Linked DNA regions of Xenopus tropicalis. The protein of the gene in region 2 purifies or fractionates together with the protein of the main gene of each other region. This does not show direct contact. Links are inferred from orthologs where the notes say so. Each region holds a gene or a part of one and is shown on either strand. Other genes may lie near its edges.

Region 1 (5,121 bases), on a different chromosome or scaffold from region 2:
TCCAACCCGGCCCAAGGAAAGTCTCCCATAGGGCTCAATGGCACTCTGCAGCTCCAACCTGGCCCAAGGAAAGTCTCCCATAGGGCTCAATGGCACTCTGCAGCTCCAACCTGGCCCAAGGAAAGTCTCCCATAGGGCTCAATGGCACTCTGCAGCTCCAACCTGGCCCAAGGAAAGTCTCCCATAGGGCTCAATGGCACTCTGCAGCTCCAACCCGGCCCAAGGAAAGTCTCCCATAGGACTCAATGGCACTCTGCAGCTCCAACCTGGCCCAAGGAAAGTCTCCCATAGGGCTCAATGGCACTCTGCAGCTCCAACCCGGCCCAAGGAAAGTCTCCCATAGGGCTCAATGGCACTCTGCAGCTCCAACCTGGCCCAAGGAAAGTCTCCCATAGGGCTCAATGGCACTCTGCAGCTCCAACCCGGCCCAAGGAAAGTCTCCCATAGGGCTCAATGGCACTCTGCAGCTCCAACCTGGCCCAAGGAAAGTCATGATACTGAAGCTTGAATGAATCCGAAACTTTTGTACTCGTTGGGACAAATACGATTTTGTCGCGCAAGTTGTACAAAAATGTTGCGTAAATTAACGAAAAATCGCAAAAAATACGCACAGTTCTAAAACTTAAAAAAAATACTAATTTTTTGTATTCGGACTTTGATGAATGTGCCCCAAAGTGTTACACAAGGTTCCGCACATGCTTGCAGAGCAACTAATAGCCCTCTGATATACATAAACAAAAAATATCAGGGCATATATTGACTACTGCCATCCCCTCCAGAGACTGTCACCACTTTATTCCATAATAAAAAGCAGCTGCTGGGCTCATGCATGTTCTAAACACTTATCCTTGCCATGCCACTGTGCCATTCCCTACAGTGGCTTCTGCTATGCTCCACAATACAATTACTGGCCCTTACAAGCAATCACATGGTCTACAAGTCCTTCCCAGCTCTGCCTAATACATATTAATTACTACATAAAATTAGAGGCAGAACATGCTTAAGCTATTTTAGTTTGCCTGGTTTGCGTTAATTCACCCACAACAAATGAAAGTACCCCCCATCAAGTGCCCAACCCAACTGGGCCTAAATGAAACCTACTGGCACCGCAGGCAAACACACTGTTTACTGAAGCAATATCACCCATAACCCATATGTGAAAGAAATGGATAGCACAGCTATATGGCACGTACACACACAGGCAGGGCAGGGAAGGAGACAGGGATATCTATCAAGGTCTATGTAAGTATCTGATCATGACCACTCCAAGATGAACATTTTGTACTGCAGTATATACAGTGACAACGCCAGCACTGCTCCTACAAAGACTTAATAGACTACCCATAGAGACAAAAACAGCCTGACTTCAGCCATTAAGCCTCTGGGTCACTTAAATGTTTCAGCTCTCAAGTCTGGAATGGAAAATTTTATCTGCCCGTGATATCTGCCCCCCCAACAGCACCTTACTTGTATTCCCTGTACCAGCTCCAAAAGCACAGAGCTGAGTAGAACAGTTAGTAGCTGCCAGGTCTGCCCATATTACTTGACCCCATATTGTACTGTGGCGATCTGCAAAGTGGTCAGGACCACCAGTCGGTCGCTAGTGTGAATACTGCTGGCTTCCAATAACATGATATAAAATGTAAAGTAAGAGCTCTAGATGAGACTCTGGATTACAGTTAAAGGAGACATTAGATAAATGGGAAAACCCTAACCCTGTAGGCAATTATGAATAATATACAGTGCTGGTTTCCCTTTGTGCTAAATATGAATCCTATCTGTAACAATGGCCCCTTTATTGGAGCTCCCTATAGATCCCATTGCTTCTCTGTCGGTGTGTGAAATGAAGAGTGGGCGTGTCCTAACGGTCCCTGCCAGAAGCACAGTAGGAGGGGGATAGCCAATCACAGCCCTGCACTCACACAAGCAAAGACAGGCTTCAATTCCCTATCAGGTCAGCCTAGCTGCTGATTGGTTCCTATCCTACAGTGCAGGGTACTGAGGGCCGCCGGCTCCCCAGCTCATCCAGAGAATTCAGCCAGCAGGAAGTGGAACAGATGGGCGGGGCTAGTGGGGTTTTGTGGAATTTCTCAATAAATCAGTCTGAAACACAACTTTTTAAGCACAATCCTTCTATATCTAGAGGAGTATAATTCACTGGTACATTCTTAATTTTTATAGGATATGTCTCCTTTAAGGCAATACCAAACTGAATATTTTAAAGGAGACATATTGGATAAAGGAAAACACTTCTAATCTTGTAGGCAATTATGAATTATATATGGGGCTGGATTTACTTTGAGCTAAAACATAATACTGTCTGTAAAAAATGGTGCTCCCTATAAATCCTCCAAGGTCCTTGTCTGTGTTTCAAATGAGGGGTGGGAGTGTCCTAAAGGACCCCGCCAGAAGCACAGCAGGAGAGGGGAGAGCCAATCACAGTCCTGCACTCACACAAGCAACAGGCTTCAGTTCCCTATCAGGTCAGTCTAGCTGCTGATTGGTTCCTACCCTACAGTGCTGTGTGCTACAGGCCCCCCTGCACAGCCTGGGAAAGGAGGCAGTAGGAAGTGGAACAGATGGGCGGGGCTAGTGGGTTTGGGGGAGGAGTATAATGTGCTGCTACATTCTATTTCGCATGAGGTCTCCTTTAAGGCGGTTTTTATCAAATGAACCTAGCTGGCAGCACGCACAATGCTATTAAGGTATTATTAGGTAGTATTTCCATCGGTATAGGTGTATCCTGGTGCTTTCCCCATATGACTTGTGTAGGGTATGTCACTAGCAGCCCAATGCAAGGCTTCGGAAGTTGCAGAAACACAATTGTCAGGTTCCCTCCCCCCGAGCAATGGGACACACAATATGGTGAGGTTGGTGCCAAGGGGAATAATGGGAACGCTAATGTCTGTGGGCAGTACAGAGACACACGGGGAGACATGAGGAAATGGAGCCGCACTGTAACACGTGTGTCCCCTGGGCCATGGGATTTGCAACCAACTCGCAGCTCGGCCCAACATGGCGGCAGCTCAGCGCCGGACGGAGCACCGTGTCAGTCACACCAACATGACGGTATAACGCACCGGGCCTGCCCTTTGGGTCGGTACCACAAGCCAAAGCGACAGGCCCACGTACTGTATTTCTAAAACAAGAAGCAATCGTACTCTTGAGAGGCGTTATTAAGTGAGCCCAGGCAGCAGGCATCCCCGGAGAGGCCAGCACGCTTACACCAGCCCGGCTCCAATGTCTCTGCCTGATGTCCGTGCCCACAGCCCGGCCTCTGCGCGTAGGGCCCGACTGACCCTTTCCTTGCTCGTTCCGCCCTAGCCCCGATAGGGAAAAGCCGCTATCTCGCTTACCTTGGGTTTCTCTTCAGACATGATTGCCCTTTTCTAGCTCTCCCGCTCTTTTTCTGTCTGTGAAGGTTTTTTCCTCTCTAACGCTTATTCGCGGGGGCGCGCTTCACCCCCAACATTATAACGCGGTGCGATAGGCGAAAGGGGGGTCACGTGACCTTAATGCGCGTTCACGATGCGCGCGACCATGGTTCCCATCCCCCTACGCGCAACCCCGCCCAGTTCCAACTATTCCATTAACGCGGTGAGTTGGTGACGGGAGCGCGCTCAGACACTAGTGTGGGGGAAGGGAGGGAAGCTGAGCGCAATGTAACAAGAAGGAAGATGCAGAGAAAGGGGACATAGTATTGCAATTAGTTTCCCACCCCTTCAATAAATAAGCGCTTGTGCGCTGTATAACGTGTAACCTTCAGCCCAGGCTCCTGGGTGTGAAACACGTGACTCTCCCAGAACATGGACAGAATGAAGCTCTGTGACTGGAACTGCGGGACTGTGTGGAGCAGCATTTCCTCTCACAATTGCATGCAGTGCCAGAAGTGTTATCATTGGGTCATTATAGCAAAGAGATGACTGCATGCACCACTTGGTGCAACTTTCATGTCAATAAAGACAGTAGCCAAGCGTTCAGGGTGCACATTTTCACATGGTAATGCAACATTGCAAGTTTAGTGTATTAGTGATCCAAATGCCGCTGGAAACCTATGTAGGGTTGACAGCTGACTCATGAAAATTATGCTTGATTCCAATGTTATCAGTAGGGCTCAAAGATAAAAGTATGGGAAGTATTTTAAATCCAGTAAATGTGAAAACCCTAGTCCTAGGTTTGATTCCAGTCATCTTGCTCAGTTTGTAACTTCTCTCAGTGGGTTTTCTCCAGATACTCCACTTTCCTCTAATAATAAGAACATACAGGTAGATAAAGTGGCCCCATCAACACTATGGGGCACATTTATCAAAGTACAATTGTTTCCGAATACAAATAATTCATATTTTTTCTAAGTTTTCTTACTGTGCGTTTTTTTGCGACTTTTTTATTAATATGCACAACTTTTTCATACTTTGACAATTTGCACAACAAAATCGTATTTGTCGCAACAAGTATGAATGTTTCGGATTCATCAGCTTCAGTATCGTGACTTTCCTTGGGCCAGGTTGGAGCTGCAGAGTGCCATTGAGCCCTATGGGAGGCTTTCCTTGGGCCAGGTTGGAGCTGCAGAGTGCCATTGAGCCCTATGGGAGACTTCCCTTGGGCCGGGTTGGAGCTGCAGAGTGCCATTGAGCCCTATGGGAGACTTTCCTTGGGCCAGGTTGGAGCTGCAGAGTGCCATTGAGCCCTATGGGAGACTTTCCTTGGGCCGGGTTGGAGCTGCAGAGTGCCATTGAGCCCAATGGGAGACTTTCCTTGGGCCAGGTTGGAGCTGCAGAGTGCCATTGAGCCCTATGGGAGACTTTCCTTGGGCCAGGTTGGAGCTGCAGAGTGCCATTGAGTCTTATGGGAGGCTTCAAAAAAACATGCACAGAAGGATCAAAGTCAGAAAGGTTTTCCCATCGTTTACGATCCTTCGGATACTAAAATTTGGTGACTTTCGGATTGGCAATACGATATTATTGTGACTATTACGATTTTTACGTAAGCATTTTTCGTGACATTTTCTATCATCAGAAATTATCGTATCTAATCCGAATTTTACCCATTTCGGGATTCGAACACGTACTTTGATGAATCAGCCCCTATATATAGGGAAATAATACTTGAACAGGAGCAGGA
Region 2 (5,118 bases):
TTATACTTTTATCTCGCTTTACAACTAAAAACAAAGAAAATACAATAGTAGAAGCAATATTAAAAAAAAAACTAAACAACAACAGTGTTCTTCTTGAGCCATTCTGTGCAGTGACACTGTTTCTCTGCATATTACCAGTAAACAAGGAGGTTCATTATGCAGGGGAATATGGTAATCTAATTAGCTACCTAGCAAAGACCAAACAGGGTCTTGTTTAAACTAAAATAGGAAAACGTTCTGTTAAGCACAATTCCTGTTTTATCAAACTCATGTTGTTGACATTGCCCCTTTAAGGAATCCAAAGTGGTATTTGCTCATTAGTGTAGAAATGCTGCTCATTGGTCAGAATGGACCCTTTAGAAAGGCAGTCAGGCTGGCTATTGGCAGACACTGGGCCTGAGTACAGCTGCAGTGAAAATGCTGTGTGTGGCATTATCTTTAGGATGTATTAACATTAATGGACAGCACCAGTAAATCAAGAGTAGATGCTCCATAAAAAGGTTTTTAAGTTCTGCATTCCTAGGTTTGATTCTCACATACGCTTGCAAATCTAGTAGCATGTAGCAAAGGTACCTGATGGTTTTCTTGTTTTTATTTTATTTTTTCTAACCTCACTGCCATCTTTAATACCAAACTGGACTCTTGGATTCAATGGCGATCTACTTCATATACATTTTGACTGGGCTGCAATGTTGCGGACAAGGCAGATGGGCAAGGGCATTCTACTGATTTGAATATGCACAAGACATCATTTGCATGCTAGCAAATGTGAAATAGGAGCTCTAAAAATCTAAATCAAGGTTTTAACAGAGGCACTGTGCACTGTGTCTTTAATCCTATATCTGGGCAAATTATATCCGAGCTAAATTATTACAAAATCAAGATATTACCAGGTGTAATCTATGAGGAACATTACCAGCCATTTCATTCTGCAAGCAGTTAGAAAGAAGAGTAGTGCAATACAAATGCTAGATTTTATCCCTACATTTTTTTTCCATGTATCTAAAAGTTATGCTTAATCCCTTTGCCACAGATCTTTAGAATTTCCAGGTGTGCAAGCATTAAATCAGTTTATAAAGCTCATTCAGTACTTGTGACTTTCCCCTGACCCTAGGCAACAAAGAAAGCTGGGGAAAGGGTGGCCTCTGGGTCAAGATCTCTCCAGGGGCCAAGGACAATGTGATAATCATATATCTGTCTTGCTGTTTAGTTCAGCAACCAGGGTTTGTTTCTTAATGCCTTGTTTGGTATATATATGTATTAATTTAATGCATCCATTAGTGAGTATGATGATAATATAGCTTAATGTCCTCTTTAAATAAGCAAAAACATTATTGTAGCTTTGAAAATGGTTTAAATAATGTCCTAACCTGCTCATGGTCCAGCAATGTTAATGCCTTCACTCCAGCCAAGATTAAGTTTTTGGCAACTTCAGCCCCAAGTCCTCGCATGCCCACCAAGAGAACTCTGGAAGTGCGCAGCCTAGAAAAAGAATTGGAAACACACATACTATATGATAGCTATTCAACCCCTTAAATGCAGTTGTTTTTAGGCTTAAACCCTTGTTTAGGCCCCTTAACTCATAAGGAGTCAGTGCATCCACTTACAGAATGCATCAAGTTGCTGTGTTAATCAATAAACTGGTTTACTAAACTCATACTAAGAAATGGTGTGAGGGTAAGCACAACTATTACTCTAAAACTGACATTTTATAAAAACTGAAAAAAAATACATTTTAAGCAATTAGAAAAAAAAAAACCAAATTTGTGGTACACTGTTTGAGAACAGGTTTTGTCATGGTAAACTGTGCATTTAAGTCAGTGATCCCCAACCAGTTGCTCACCAACCCCTTGGATGTTGCTCAGTGCCCCCAAACCAGGTAGTTATTTTTAAATTCCTGACTTGGTGGCAAGTTTTGGTTGAATAGAAACAGGATTTCCTACCAAATAAAGCCCCCTGTAAGCTGACAGCGTGCATAGAGGCTGCCTAATAGCCAATCTTAGCCCTTATTTGGCACCTCCATGAACTTATGATGCTTGTGTTGCTCTCCAAGTCTTTTTACATTTGACTGCGGCTCACGAGCAAGAAAGGTTGGGGATCCCTGATTGAAGTAGTCAATATAAGTTTAAAAGTTGGTGTATTTAGCTTAAGAAAACATCTGCATTTAATGGTATCACTGTCAAGCCTACTCTCATCTATTAATGGCCAGATTATGGTGACAAACATTGTGTCGCCCTTTGTTAAAGAAAATAAGATTGTGCCTAGTAGCTAGAACTGATTCTTGTACATGGCAATATCTAATACCAGATCTTCAACTTCCCAGTGCATAGTGAATTATAAGCAAATTTGCTCTCTGCACATGCCATGGTGCTCAATACTCCCTATACTGTCCATGCCAGACAGTTCTTAATCCACGTGTGCTGCACTCCAGGCTAGATACTTACTTTTTTCCCTTGTAATAATACTGGCATCATGCACCATTTCTAATGGCCAAGTGGCAACCTCACGCATATCAGGCAGCTTTCCCCTGTACTATATATGTTGGGCTCTTCTCTTTTTTTTGTGCACACCAACTCACCCCCCCAGGTATTGAGCCTTACCTTGTATTACACAAAATCAAAACTTCTGCATGTCTATATGTTCTCCACATTAGAACGTAAGCAGAAAGTCTATGTGATTAACATAATATGTGCTGCGAGGCTCAGCGAGTGTAAAACACAGGTGTCAAACGTTGAAAAGGGTGGGAAGCCGTTCTCCCCAATGGTAATAGGCATAACAATGCTAGATACAGATAGCCAACATGCCATCCCATGCTCTAAATGTTATGCTTGTTTTCATTAAACAAATGGCTGTCCGCGCCAGGCCTCCCCTAATGTATTATCATCATCATTACCTCTTCTGTGCCTCCAGCCCCCACAAGCGGATCTGCCGGTCATACTGCGCCGCCTCTTCCTCACTGATCACTGCCTCCTCCTTCTCCACCATTCTGCTAATCTCTCCCTACAAAAGCCGGTTGTTCCCACACCGAATGAATGGAGACCGAAGTGAAAGCGAGGAGAAAAAGGGGAAGAACCTAAAGCGTCATCTAAGGACGGACTGACACGTGACCATTAAGCGCCCTCCTTTTCCGGCCTGGAGTTGAAGCATTTTACTTCCGAGGGTAGTGATGTTTTTGCTCTTGGCGCTGTCAGTGTGCTCTGTGCTCTCTGTGTTGAAGTCATTCTGTTGGGGTATTTTTTAGTTTACCAACACTAAATTGTAAAGCCGCAATAGTCTATAGTGCTGTACAGTAAAAGGGTGCATATATCGCGCATACAAATACTGAAGTGTTCCTTTGTGTTTTTTTTTTTTTTTTTTTTTTTTAAATGGGTGTTGGCCTTGGAGATCTCTCACCAATAAAAGCCACAGCAGGGGAGGATCAGCCTGTGGGATCAATGCTTTGGTCAGGAGATTTTTTTTTACAATAAATGGATCCATGTATAGTGGTGCTGGCCTATGAAAAGTATGACTAGTGCAGTGATTCTCAACCTTCCCTTTAATACAGTTCTTCATGTTGTGATGATGAAATAGGTGACCCCTGTGAAAGGGTTGTTTGACCCCCAGGTTGAGAACCACTGGACTAGAGGTAAAAATTTGGGACCACCATATGGAATTCACCTTGAAGTGGTATGGTGGCCTGGCAATTTTATAATCAGAACCTTGTAACCAAAATGTGCACTTGCACAGCCTAAATTATTCATAGAACAGGGCCACATAATGTGCATTAATCAATTCTGTCTTTAGTATGTTCATGATTAAAGGAACAGTAACACCAAAAAATGAAAGTGTTTTAAAGTATTGGAAACATAACGTACTGTGGCCCTGCAATGGTAAAACTGGGGTATTTGCTTCAGGAACACTACTATAGTTTATATAAATAAGCTGCTGTGTAGCCATGGGGGCAGCCATTCAAGCTGGAGAAAAGGAACAGGTTACATAGCAGATAACAGATAAGACACCATTGTATTCTACAGGGTTTATCTGTTAGCTGCTATATAAGCTGTGCCTATTCTTCTTTTGAATGGCTGCCCCCATGGCTACACACCAGGGTTTATATAAACTCTAGTAATGTTTCTGAAGCAAACACAAAACTTTTACCAGTGCAGGGCAGCATTATAGTCTAATTCCTTTAAAATAAATACATTTTTTTGGTGTTACTGTTCTTTTAATATGGATTATCAAAGTATTTGAGATGTAGAATATTTTGCATTTGCTGTTGTCAGGGACCTCTGGGTTGAGTGATTCCCAAGGGGCTACTTGTGTCCCCCTCCACTCATTGCTTAGGATGCTGCAGATCTTAAATCTGTGGTACTTTGATGTTTTTGTCCACAGATTTCAGATGCAGTTATCTGTTGCACTATAAAACCAGTTAAAAATATAAACAGAAACAAAATAAAAAAACTTTAAAAAAAAATATAAACAGAAAAAAGATAAGGGTCATAAGCAGAGCATAAGTACAAAAAAACATACATACATATGTGCATATATGGGTTTTTTAGACCCTTAAAGTGATGAATTTTAAGCCCCCAGACAGAGTGAATTACAAAAAAAGGTAAAAGGCACAAATAAAAAAAATACTGAAATAGCTGGGATTGCTAAATTGGAAGTTACTCCAGTTTTTATAAATGAGACCCATTTTGCTTTGAATACATACCCAACTGTGATGGGTACCTCTTACTACTAATGAAAGTACACAGAATAATAGTTAAAGATCAAGAGTCAAAATTATCAGGATGTGCCAAATATTTAGGCATCCCCCATATTAAAAGTTTCTAACCTTTCACCATAGGATAGTGCACCTCTTTAAAAAATGGTTATGCCTGGTGTAGTACTTTCAGAGTGCAGTGGAGCCATATTTCCAGTTCCTTACACGGCCGTGGACAACTAAAGGGATAATCCCATCTACCACATGGGAAGGATAGAAAATAAACCCTTTATGCCTTTATCTTTATTGTCCTGTTATAATCAACCTGTTCACCAGTAAAATAGACTCTCTTCCACTGTAGCTCCATAGCTGAGGATTCTGTCCTTTTGAAATGTGACTGGAGACCTGCTGGGCTTGGCTATTGTTGCCTTTGG
Region 3 (5,003 bases), on a different chromosome or scaffold from region 2:
GGGTAAACACTCACTGCATGAGAGGGAACGCGTAAAATCACCCAGCAGCCCTTTGCAATATGTAAAAGTGTCAGGGTTTTAGCTTTCATAAGCATAAAACAAGAAGAGCCATGGGTTACTCCTATTGGCTTGAGCAATTAACGGTTAAAGAAAAACACATTTTACTTGGCAACAACTAAGTGATAGGTAGCAAACATGCAAAAAATAAAACCAAAATTAAAAATATCTATATACAATTTTTTTAATATACATTAGCGATGTAATATTGTTAGTGGCCAGATCTAGCCGGTTTTAGGGGCTGCTTGTCACTGTATATGTTCATCTCACCTGTGCTGGCGTGTCCGTTTCATTGATTGGCTGCCCATCAAACCGGAATCTGATCTGCCTCATTGACAAACCCTGGAGGAGAAAATATATGATAAGTAAAACTGTATTGCCAGGCTTATACCCAGTATTTCTGTACCCAAATCTGATCTGGTTACCTGACGCTCACAATATGCCTTCATCAGTTTGTTGAGCGGTGTGTGCCGCTTGATCTTGAATTGCACCACTGAGCCATCCTGGCCAGCCACTTTCAGGTTGATGTGGTCGTTGTTCTCGGTCTTAACACCTTCCTAAAAGAAGTAAAAAGTGGAATGAGTGCTGGGAAGGGGCATCATGGCACAGAAACACTGGTAACGCTTGTGGTTATTCATCCCGTTGTGAGAAATGAGCTCTTTGCACCCCATTCTAGAGAATACTTTGGCACCAAATGACAAAAGAACTCTAGTTATATTAGATCTGGCCGGGGACCATGCTACATTTGGTAATGTGTTCACAACGCACAAGAAGAAAGATGGGGAGCACAGAAGTTATAAGGCTGCATGTCATTACACAAAATACACCAAATGTTCCCTTTAGAACAACAGTCACTGCTGGGAGCTACAGTTCTGGAATGTTTACTGACTGCACAGGCATTTAACTTACAACTACACTCACAAAAGCTGGTCTAGCCCCTAACCTCATCGTATATATTAGCCTTACAGTACGCTTGCCTGTGTCTCTAGGTCCCCAATTAACAGGTCCCAGTGATTAAGAGAGCAATATCACATTGAGGGCCAGTATGCAGAATAACATGGTACTGCTTCACAGTGTCACAGACCCTGAATCTAAAGACTTAATACAAGTTTAAAAGTTCTCAGAACTTTCTTTCCACTGTGCCTAATGCACCTTACCCTTCCTGCTTCTAACACGTGTTCCTCCATTACCTACACTACTTCCTCAATTCTAAAATTCCTTCCATACTAAGAATTCTCCTTCCTTAGGTCGAAGACACACAGTAGTAGCAGCTACTTGTCACAGCTACTAAAATATTCAATGCCAATCAGTTACTGATAATTCTCTGTTTTCGCAACGCTCCATACTGTCTAAGGCAGGGGATTTTCTGGTGTTTTGTAGCTGTAAAAAATTAGTTGCTGCTAGTAGCTCAGTGTGTCTTCACCCTTATGCCCCTTACTCTGCATGGAATGCCCCCAACATAACCTAGGCTTCTGGCCAGTATTAACTCTATTTAATGGCACTGAGCCCTGCATACCCATTTTCCCACCATTAAGCTCTCCCATAATACTTGCCCTTCTCACTGGCCAGAGGCTACATCTTTTCCCACTCAACATTCTTGAATTCCTCTCTCCCCAAGTTACCTCATTCCCTAAAGTCAATGCCCCCAACATACCTGGGCTCAGGGCCCCCTAAGCTCCCAATTCCCAGCCCCAGTATATGCCCCCAACATACCTGGGCTCAGGGCCCCCTAAGCTCCCAATTCCCAGCCCCAGTATATGCCCCCAACATACCTGGGCTCAGGGCCCCCTAAGCTCCCAATTCACAGCCCCAGTATATGCCCCCAACATACCTGGGCTCAGGGCCCCCTAAGCTCCCAATTCACAGCCCCAGTATATGCCCCCAACATACCTGGGCTCAGGGCCCCCTAAGCTCCCAATTCCCAGTATATGCCCCCAACATACCTGGGCTCAGGGCCCCCTAAGCTCCCAATTCCCAGTATATGCCCCCAACATACCTGGGCTCAGGGCCCCCTAAGCTCCCAATTCCCAGTATATGCCCCCAACATACCTGGGCTCAGGGCCCCCTAAGCTCCCAATTCACAGCCCCAGTATATGCCCCCAACATACCTGGGCTCAGGGCCCCCTAAGCTCCCAATTCCCAGTATATGCCCCCAACATACCTGGGCTCAGGGCCCTCTAAGCTGCCAATTCCCAGCCCCAGTATATTCCCCCCCAACATACCTGGGCTCAGGGCCCCCTAACCTCCCTATTCCCAGCCCCAGTATATGTCCCCAACATACCTAGGCTCAGAGCCCCCTAAACTGCCAATTCCCAGGCCCAGTATATTCCCCCCCCAACATACCTGGGCTCAGGGCCCCCTAACCTCCCAATTCCCAGCCCCAGTATATTCCCCCACAACATACCTGGGCTCAGGCCCCCCTAATATCCCTATTCCCAGTATAGCCAAGGTCGCCCATTCCCATTTACTTCCCATCTCCCAATACTGGCAGTGCCCAACATACCCTTCCCCAGTGCTCCCTGGTTCCTGTCCTCCCTTCCCCAGTGCTCCCTGGCTCCTGTGCTCCCTTCCCCAGTGCTCCCTGGTTCCTGTGCTCCCTGGTTCCTGTGCTCCCTTCCCCAGTGCTCCCTTCCCCAGTGCTCCCTTCCCCAGTGCTCCCTTCCCCAGTGCTCCCTTCCCCAGTGCTCCCTTCCCCAGTGCTCCCTTCCCCAGTGCTCCCTTCCCCAGTGCTCCCTTCCCCAGTGCTCCCTTCCCCAGTGCTCCCTTCCCCTGTGCTCCCTTCCCCTGTGCTCCCTTCCCCTGTGCTCCCTTCCCCTGTGCTCCCTTCCCCTGTGCTCCCTTCCCCTGTGCTCCCTTCCCCTGTGCTCCCTTCCCCTGTGCTCCCTTCCCCAGTGCTCCCTTCCCCAGTGCTCCCTGGTTCCTGTGCTCCCTTCCCCAGTGCTCCCTTCCCCTGTGCTCCCTTCCCCAGTGCTCCCTTCCCCTGTGCTCCCTTCCCCAGTGCTCCCTTCCCCAGTGCTCCCTTCCCCAGTGCTCCCTTCCCCAGTGCTCCCTGGTTCCTGTGCTCCCTTCCCCATAAACCTAGTGGGCCAATGCAGTGCAGCCTCCCATAACCAAGCCCCGCTAGTATGGGCGTCCCTCTCCCGGCTGTCTCCCTACGGGCCCCTCCCGTACCCACAGAGCCCCCGCACAGCCCGCAGGCCGCTGCCCCCTCCCTTTAGCGCCTAGGCCTCTCCCTCCTCCTGCCCCGCACCCACTGCCCCCGGCCCCAAGCCCGCTATGCGACCCTTCCCTCTCCCAGCCCGGAGCAGGACCTTGGGCTTATCGTCCGCCATTGTCAGTTCGCTCCCGGTGCCCGGTACTCTCGCTGCTGCCTCCTCCTCACAAAGAGCCTGAACTGGCGCGGGACGTGGAACGAGAGCGCGCACGTACGGAAAGGAAGATTTGGCGCACTCTCTGCGTGCGCGCCCCCGCCGCTATTTCCACTGTAGGGAAAAGCCCGCCTTGGGGAGCACGTGGCGGCGGGGGCGCGCATGGGGGGAGGGGTCTGACTCTGAGGAGAGTCAGGGTGAGGTTGGGCCGCATTGTACCCGGGATTGGCTAAATCCCTTCCAGTGACTTCATTGGCCTAGTCTCATAGAGGGGGCAGGAGCCATGATAGAAGCTTCCAGAAACAGCCCCCCCTATAATTAAGCCAAAGGAGGAAGCCATACCAGTTGCCATACCAGTTACCTTTTCACTAAAACTTTATTTTGATCAGTCCTGCACTTAAGGGCAAATGCCCATACCTGGTGCCTCTTACCTTCCAGTTTGTGCCTGTATGTTACCCAACCACTTAGATTGTAAGCTCTACGGGGCAGGGACCTCCTTCCTACTGTGTCTCATACCCCATGGCACTTACTCCCTGTGTATTTATACTTATTTATTGAAATTTATTATAACACTTGCCCTACCTGTGGGTAATTGTGTATATTGTAAGATTGTACAGTGCTGCGTATCCTTGTGGCGCTTTATAAATAAAGTTATACATACCAAAAACATAGAGAAGCTAACCATATCCAAAGCTACCAGACAAAACATAAAAATCATATCCAAACCATATCCAAAGTTACCAGACAAAACATAAAAATCATATCCAAACCATATCCAAAGTTACCAGACAAAACATAAAAATCATATCCAAACCATATCCAAAGTTACCAGACAAAACATAAAAATCATATCCAAACCATATCCAAAGTTTCCAGACAAAACATAAAAATCATGGAAGGTGGCTGCCCTTTTAGGGACATAAAATACAGCCATTTCCCAGGGTGGGACTGGACGAGCGGAACGATAGGAGAAAAACCGTCTGTTGAGGTGGTGGACCCCACACACCTCATTCCAACACTGGGATTTACTGTCTTTCTTCCCTATTTACTGTTAATAACACTGACAGCCTTCTGCTCCTCATAGTTACCCCCCCAAAAATGAAAAGGCCTAAAACCCACCCAAAATTGCCTAGGGTACAAGCAGTGCATATTGGGACATGGTTATAAGGGCATTTATTTTCTTTCATTTGGAGTTTGCTTGTAAGGTGGAGATCTGTAAACAACAAAGGGATGACAATACAAATGTCACAAGCAAAAGGGAGAAACCACAGCAAATATTTTAAATAAAGGGGAGAGTAAATTGCATATCAAAATAAATGAGTCATAAGTATTATATGAGATCAGCAGCCATTCTTCTGATCCAAACATAACTTGAAACAAAAGAAAACACCATGTGGTTCAAAGTTGGTCTACTCTCTATGTTAGTGCAGTCTGCACCCAACACCCATCCTAAAGGTGGCCATATGGCAGGGTTGCCAAATGTGCGGATCGTGACTCCTGATATGCCCCCCTACAAATTAAACCGGCGGGTATATGGGCAATCGGAATCAATGAGGCAATGCTGTCCCCGATTTGATG

Evidence for each region. Proteins that work in one complex are often made in the same cells at the same time.
Region 1: the proteins of sae1 (region 2) and sumo3 purify together in Homo sapiens (affinity purification with mass spectrometry; 3 studies listed by BioGRID and IntAct, with this or other methods). This does not show direct contact. The link is inferred for Xenopus tropicalis from reciprocal best matches to the Homo sapiens genes SAE1 and SUMO3.
Region 3: the proteins of sae1 (region 2) and sumo2 purify together in Homo sapiens (affinity purification with mass spectrometry; 3 studies listed by BioGRID and IntAct, with this or other methods). This does not show direct contact. The link is inferred for Xenopus tropicalis from reciprocal best matches to the Homo sapiens genes SAE1 and SUMO2.

The regions. Positions count from the first base shown.
Region 1 is NC_030685.2:55,089,255-55,094,375, reverse strand, and holds the start of sumo3 (small ubiquitin-related modifier 3), read right to left. Parts: upstream 3,400-5,121; 5' UTR 3,378-3,399; coding exon 3,357-3,377; intron 1-3,356. UniProt on the Homo sapiens protein: Ubiquitin-like protein which can be covalently attached to target lysines either as a monomer or as a lysine-linked polymer. Does not seem to be involved in protein degradation and may function as an antagonist of ubiquitin in the degradation process.
Region 2 is NC_030684.2:77,092,816-77,097,933, forward strand, and holds the start of sae1 (SUMO-activating enzyme subunit 1), read right to left. Parts: upstream 2,990-5,118; 5' UTR 2,986-2,989; coding exon 2,894-2,985; intron 1,483-2,893; coding exon 1,371-1,482; intron 1-1,370. UniProt on the Homo sapiens protein: The heterodimer acts as an E1 ligase for SUMO1, SUMO2, SUMO3, and probably SUMO4. It mediates ATP-dependent activation of SUMO proteins followed by formation of a thioester bond between a SUMO protein and a conserved active site cysteine residue on UBA2/SAE2.
Region 3 is NC_030686.2:44,410,797-44,415,799, reverse strand, and holds the start of sumo2 (small ubiquitin-related modifier 2 precursor), read right to left. Parts: upstream 3,400-5,003; 5' UTR 3,390-3,399; coding exon 3,369-3,389; intron 2,659-3,368; exon of another isoform or gene 2,422-2,658; intron 2,075-2,421; exon of another isoform or gene 1,217-2,074; intron 615-1,216; coding exon 483-614; intron 400-482; coding exon 328-399; intron 1-327. UniProt on the Homo sapiens protein: Ubiquitin-like protein that can be covalently attached to proteins as a monomer or as a lysine-linked polymer.